2 linked regions of the Macaca fascicularis genome follow. The protein of the gene in region 1 purifies or fractionates together with the protein of each later gene. This does not show direct contact. Links are inferred from orthologs where the notes say so. Each region holds a gene or a part of one and is shown in the gene's direction. Other genes may lie near its edges.

What was found.
Region 2: the proteins of BOD1 (region 1) and WDR5 purify together in Homo sapiens (affinity purification with mass spectrometry; 3 studies listed by BioGRID and IntAct, counting the BioPlex papers as one, with this or other methods). This does not show direct contact. The link is inferred for Macaca fascicularis from reciprocal best matches to the Homo sapiens genes BOD1 and WDR5.

Annotation. Positions count from the first base shown.
Region 1 is NC_088380.1:180,431,375-180,434,828, reverse strand, and holds part of BOD1 (biorientation of chromosomes in cell division protein 1), read left to right. Parts: intron 1-474; coding exon 475-599; intron 600-3,454. UniProt on the Homo sapiens protein: Required for proper chromosome biorientation through the detection or correction of syntelic attachments in mitotic spindles.
Region 2 is NC_088389.1:5,216,628-5,220,278, reverse strand, and holds part of WDR5 (WD repeat-containing protein 5), read left to right. Parts: coding exon 1-50; intron 51-837; coding exon 838-913; intron 914-1,708; coding exon 1,709-1,742; intron 1,743-2,059; coding exon 2,060-2,134; intron 2,135-2,862; coding exon 2,863-2,950; intron 2,951-3,651.

The DNA of each region.
Region 1 (3,454 bases):
GAAGAGGCCAGTTGTGGAATTGAGGCCTGCTGATTCCTTTGTCAACTTCATTTCCCTGTTAGCAAACTTTGCCACAGTAATGCTGCATAACAAACTGAATCTCAGCAGCTTATAACCAGCACGGTTCACATGTTCACGGGGCAGCTAGGAAGGCTTCAGCTGGTGGCTTGGCTGCAGGCTGCTCAAATGTGGGTCCAGGCTATGGGTTGATGTCAGGCCTGCTGCATGTAGAGTTACTTAAAAGTAAATGGAATAATATAAGTAAAGCGCCTGGCATTGTGCCCACCCACCATCAAGTGGGCACTTGTGTTAACCATTAATTCCTGACTGCCACACTGCATGGTGATCTTCATGCATAATGGAAGTGTATTTAGGCTTGATAACGTTTCTGTGAAAAGCAATGTTCTGAGAGACTAAGTTCAAAACTTTGGTGCATGTAACTTCTGACCTTGCCTCCTCTTTTTAACATTTTAGCCAGCTTACCAAAACCTGAGGCAGAAAGTGGATAATTTTGTGTCAACACATCTGGACAAGCAGGAATGGAATCCTACAATGAACAAAAACCAATTGCGAAATGGTCTGAGGCAGAGTGTGGTTCAGTAAGTAAGCAGAATTTAAAGCTTTTGAAAAGGCAGTAATCGCAAGTGTGATGCACAAGAAGGTTGAGGTCTCTGTTTAGTCAAGGTTGATGGGACTTTATATCAAGTATCACTTAGGAGTTGCAGCAGTCTGCTCCTTTATTACAGTTAAGGTTAAAGTAAGCAAAGTACTCAATTGAAATTCCAGTTTCTGCAGCCTGTGAAGGCCTCTTGTGTGCATCTCTGCTGGGTGCATCGAAAGACATTCCAAATTATGAGACATGTTCCCTGCTCTTCGAAGTTTCAGTGTCGTCCAAACATATATGTGAGTTTTATACCAAGATCTCAGGGTTTGGATCTTGGGCAAGAGGAGCTGGATCTTTATTCTCACAGGTGAATGTAAGTTAAATTCTTTGAGTCCACCAGGGCTGCCACCTCTAAAGTGTAATGGTGGCCGCTTTCAGGAAGGCATAGTCTTAACAAAGTATTGTACTTCACAGTAACAAACTGAACCTTAGTTAATGAAGGTGCTATTGATAGCTTATCTGAGTGACTTCACTGTCACTGGGCACAAAAGTGGAGGAGGGTCATGGAATCTGGTCATAACATTCATGAGCTAACAGTTACGGAAATGGGAGAACACATTAGTGATTGCCTGGGGGTAGGGATGGGAGGAGGGGCGAGTGTGACTTGAAAGTGGTAGCACGAGGGGAACTTGCGATAGTGCAGTTAAGTATCTGAGTTGTGCTGTGCTTATGTGCAGCAACTCGTAAAGTTGCATGGAGCTACACACACAAGTCAGTGCAAGTGTAACTGAAGTCTAAATAAGGTCTGGATTGGACCAGTGTCATTTTCCTGGTTTTGATATTGCACTGTAGTTATGCAAGGTGCTAACATTAGAGCTGGCTGGGTGAAGGGTGCATGTGGAACTCCCTGGACACTTCACAACTTCTGTGAATCTGCAGTGATTTTTAGATTTTTAACGTTTTTAAAAGTGTTTTACTAACAGGCTAGTACTTCCAATATGGCTGAATGCTGGGAAGAAGCCTGATAGCAGAAGATGCCCGGTGCCTTGTCATTCTGGGGTCAGTACCGAGTGCCTTTCCCTTTCTGCAGAGAGCAGACTGGTGGCACCAGGCTCTTTCAGAGAGAAGGGGACAGTAGCTGCCCCTTACTGAGCAACTCTTTATTACATGTCTGGCACTGGTCTTTACATATATCACTCATCCTCACAAAAAACCTATTTCACAGCTGAAGTCACTTGTGTTTACCCTATCTTGAGTAAATCAAAACATTGAACATTTTGAAATACTTGGAAAGTTGCCGTAATTGTATGAAGGCTGTTAACATTGCTGTTGATTTCCATAATGAGCATGGATGTCATTCTAGAAGAATCCATGTGGCACTTCTTTTTGCATTTCTTTAGTAGGAATTGTAATACCAAAAAGTGCACAGAAATACAGTAAAACAGATAATGAGAACATCCCTTAATCACCCAGGTCAAGAAATGAACTCACACCCTCCCAGAATAGCCTAGGCCCAGACATACCTTCCTCCTTTCAGAAGTTTGCTGTATTCCTGACTTTACGCCAATCATTTCTTCTCTTCATAGCTTTTACCACCTCGGTGAAATTTTTTTTTTCCTGCTTTTTGATTTGACTTAGAATGTGTTTAACCTGAAAACATGAACTTGGCTTTAATACTGGGACATTTCTCCACAATTCTCGCTAGCATTTTGAATTTGAGGCAAAATCTACTGGAGTTTTGAAATGCAGACTTTCTGCTTGCCCCCGGGTGCTCTCCGCAGATGGACATTGCAGGCCTTCAGAGCATTGGCTCACTGGCCTAGCTGTTCTGGCCCAGATGCTGTAACCCAGTGCCACAGCCTAGAGGGTTTAACAGGAAATTAGCCTGTACTGACTTATGAACTGAATTATGACAAATAACTCTTTTAACTATACAATATTTGTTCATTCCATCTTCTACGTTAGGCTCCTGACAAGATTTTATGTTTTCCTCAAAAGCTTTAAGAATCTCCAGGAAAGTGAGCTGCACTCCCTTGGTACTTGGTTTCCCCTGATCAGGGGTTTTGGTCAGTTGGGGACGCTTTAACAAAGCGCCGTAGACTAGGTGGCTTGTAAACCATGGAAATGTACTTCTCACCATTCTGGAGGCTACAAGTCCAAGACCAAGATGGCAGCATGGTCAGGTTCAGGGGAAGGCCTTCTTCCAGGCAGCAGACTGCCTACTACTTCTTGTTCTTGTGTGGTGTGAAGAGAGCTAGCTAACTTCCTGGGGTCCCTTTTGTAAGGGCATAGATTGCATTCATGGAGGCTCTGTCCTCATGACCCAATCCCCTCCCAAAGGCCCTACCTCCAAATGCCATCACATTAAGGATTAGATTTCAACATAGGAAGTTTGGGGGACACAGGCATTTAGTTCATAATATCAAGCTTTTACATCTAGTAAAGACCCCTGTGAATCCGACTCAGGAAGTGGTTTGGTAAAGTTGGAAAGGTATTGGCTTGTGACTGAGGAGAGGTGGCTTTGCTTTATAACTGACCCATAGCCTGATGCTAAGTGTGCTGTATTTAACAATGCTCATCACTAAGGGCAGATACTGTCGAATGCCTGGTCTACCTGAAAATGTGCCCTTCAGTGCTCTGGTGGTGGTGTATTTACATCTAGGCTTCCTGTCGATAAGCTGTTAGTTACCATTGAATCCGGGAAGCACTTTACACACTAATCATCTTTCCCAGTTCAGGGCCTGCTTCTCGTCTTTGTCATGATGTACATTTACTCATGTCTTTCGTTTGCTGTGCCCTGACAGACTATTTACCCAGTTGCTGCCTGGCCTATTTTTGCCCAAGGGCTTA
Region 2 (3,651 bases), on another chromosome or scaffold:
GAGGGAGCGGAGACGCCAGGTGCCTGGCGAGGCCAGGCGTCCCCGTGGTGGTAATGCCAAGGGCCGCGTCCTTCCCGGTGCTCGGGACACACCAGCGCGTGCACATGCTCGTTGGTGGCGGGGGGGGGGTCCCTGATGGGGCCTGGGGTGGGAACTGCACCAGGATACACCTTCCTTGAGATTCCCCCCTCCTCACTCGGGCGAGGGGAAACGCCTTCCTCCGGTTGTGAGGGTTGTGGGGTTGTCACGTCCTGAAAACTCTGACCTGTACATGGACAGCTTCTGGGAGCCTTGACTCTTTCAGCTGTGTGAGAAAAAGTGGCTGTACTCTGCCCCCAGGGCTGCAGGGTCCAGCTGATAGGCCTGGGCCTTAGCTGTGGGTGTGACAACAAGTAGATGGGTTGTGTGGGCGCGAATGCCCCTTGCGTCGATAAATTCTTAAAAGGAGAATTTCCAAGGTGACTTCCCCAGCTCTTTTTGCTGCTGGTGGAGTCGTCCCTCCGTTGAGTTGGGCATTCGCCAACCTCATCCCTCCCCTGTGAGGCAGGTGATTCCTGAGAATGGCCACTGCCCGGTGCCCGAGGAGGCCTGTATTCCTAAAGTCCTGGTGTCAAGGGGCCCCCGGGGCCATGGGCTTGAGGTGTCAAGAAGCTGCTCACGGCTAGTGTGCGTGGCTAGGCCACCCTTCGGGGCACCAAGGGGTGGTGGTGCTGGCACTGGTGGTGGTGGCCGACCTCACTCAGATGTCGCACGTGGGGGACGGGGAGCGGGTCCCACCTCCTGTCCCTGCCCAGCTGTCAGCGCCCGCCCCGTGTCACCCGTCTGTTTTTATTGCAGATGACGACAACCCCCCAGTGTCTTTCGTGAAGTTCTCCCCGAACGGCAAATACATCCTGGCCGCCACGCTGGACAAGTGAGTGCTGCGCGGGACCGTGGGGGCGGGCGTGTGGCCTCCCCAGCCAGAGACACCTGCTCGCCAGCGTGAGCCTTCGGAGAGCATGTCGTGGGCTTGGCACGGGACCCAGGCTCCTGCTGGAGCTTTGGCTTCTGGGCAGTGGCCTGTTAGGTCAGAGGGCAGGCCCCTGCCCATCCCTTCCCGAGGCTGAACCTCAGGTCCGACTAAAGGAGGATTTAGGGTCGGTTTTCTGGTTGAGTGACTCTGGCCGGGGCAGGCCTAGCCATCCCGCATGAAGGAGTAGGTGGTCCGGGGTCCTCCAAGGCCCTTTCTGGTTCTGACCTCTGAGGACCTTGGTTTTACCTCTCACAAAGCCGCTGCCCTCCCGGACTGTTCTCTAAGCTCCAGCTTTCCCACGCATGCGGCCTCAGCCCTGTGGGTCCAAGTCTGGGCCCCGATCCTCTGAGGGCTGTGTGATTGGGTGGTAAAACCTGTTCTGGATGTTTCCAGAACCAAGAGGACTTCCTCACCCTTTTGAGGATGACCTGAGTCAGGGACGATAACACCCGTCAGCTTCCTGTTAAAGTCTCTCTTGGAACTGCAAATACTTGCGGCTCTCACACTGTGGCTCCCCAACGCCAAGTCACTGGACTCTGAGCCTGAGGGGCCCTCACCCTGACGGGGAAGGGGGTTGCATCCCCGCTGGCTTTTGCACCTGGCGCTGATGGTGGCCGTGACGTAGTGGCTGCAGAGTTGGGCGTGGGGACAGGACGCCTCCGGCCGTGCCGCCTCACGCCTCTCTCTGTCTTGCAGCACTCTGAAGCTCTGGGACTACAGCAAGGGCAAGGTGAGCTCCCGCAGGCTCGGGCCCCCGTTGTGCGCCGTCCCTGGGTCATGGCCTCTGGTGGGGACAGAGTGGCCCCGCTGATGACAAAGGAGAGGAGCTCAGAGAATCATTTCCACGGGTTTGGTGCAGATTCCTGAAAAACCTGGGTATTCGTAGGGTGGCAGTCTGCAAGTTAAATCTTCGATTGTGTGGGTTTTGTACTTGTACTTTTCAGAAGTAAGTGTAGTCAGTGGTGAAACGCCTTGCTTAGAACGTAGAATTATACAAAATCAAGGGGATCCATGACTCTGTGACCAGCCTGTCCCCTCCTGTTTCAGTGCCTGAAGACGTACACTGGCCACAAGAACGAGAAATACTGCATATTTGCTAATTTCTCTGTTACTGGCGGGAAGGTGAGTCTTATGACCTTGAAGCGTCTCACGCGTTCCCAGCTTACTCTCCCGAGAGGTCACACCTGTTACAGGTTGCTTTACACTCAGACGCTTTTCTGTGCCCACACAATGAATTTCCATTTCAACCAAAGTGCGCTGCGCCAAGCACCGGGGACACCTTGTCCCGTCTGTTTCTAGGTCCAGCTCCTTAATGGAGGCAGGCAGCCTGTTGCCGGGCTCTGCTGGCAGTGCTTGGCCGATGCCTTCCGAGGGGGTTGGGACCCCACAGGTGGAGCTCCGCGGCTCAGGGTGTCCCCGGGTGGGTGCGCTGGCTCCGAGGCTGTCCACCCGCCCCAGCAGGGAGGGGAGTGTTTTCCCGCCCACCCACACTGGTCTCGATGCTGCTTAGACCGGGGTGACTCTCGGGCAGCATGTGTATGACACACAGACTCAGGAAAGGGGGACCTGAGAAGCATCTTCCAGCCTGGAAGCCTCTCCTGGGGCAGGCAGGTGCCTGGCTTCTTTGACCGAGGCCCGTGCTGGGGTAGAGCAGGCGGGGCTGTCCGCACTGGGGGAGGAAGCCTCAGGCCTGGCTGGAGGGCAGGCACGGCTTTTTGGTTGAGTTCAGCCAGGCAGCCACCAGCGGGGTGGGCGTGGGGCGGGGCATAACTGGAGATTCTGCCCCTTCCACATACACGAGCGCTGACCTGCTCTTCCTTGCCCTGTTTTCCGTGCTTGTTGTTACTTAGTGGATTGTGTCTGGCTCAGAGGATAACCTTGTTTACATCTGGAACCTTCAGACGAAAGAGATTGTACAGAAACTACAAGGCCACACAGGTGAGGGCCTGTGCTCCCGCAGCCACGGCTGCCTGTTGATGTGAGGACAGTTCCTGTAGGTGAAGCGTGGTCTGCCCGTAGGGTGCCGTCGTCTTCCCCTTCCCACCTCAGCCCTCCGCTGGCCCCATTGAGGAGCCGCTGCTAAGAGCTCTTGCCCAAGGCATGGAGCTGGTCACTGTGCTGCCCACTCGGACCCAGGGCTCCTGTCTTGAACCCTGTTTCTTCCTGTTCTGCCGGGTATTCTGGTCCGGAAGGTGTGTGTGGCTGTGGGACTTTAGGTGGGTGTAGCGTGTCCCACTTCACGGCGAGCTCCGTTTCCTGGGCCGGGGACAGTGAGGTCATCGCTGCCCCATCCTGGAGGCTCTGGCTCCTTTCGATTACCTGTTCCCTCTCCCAGAGAGACCCCTGCTGCATGCAGGCCTAGTGGGCTCCACAGCGGTGCTGGTTCCCAAGCGACCTGGGGTTGCCCCTCCCTGGGTCCTGGCTGCCCTCTGCAGCCACCACTGCTTCCTCACCCTCTGGCCCTGCATTTCCATGTCTCATGGGGCCAATGAGAGCATGGGGGGGCAAGCCCTTGTGGAAACTGGGGGAGGTGCTGCTTCTCCCTCTGCTCGAGCAGCTTCACCCAGCCTGGGGTCAGCACTCATGTTCCACGGCGGGCCTGCGCCTTCCTCCGGGTCCTCACCGGTGTTCTGGGGTTT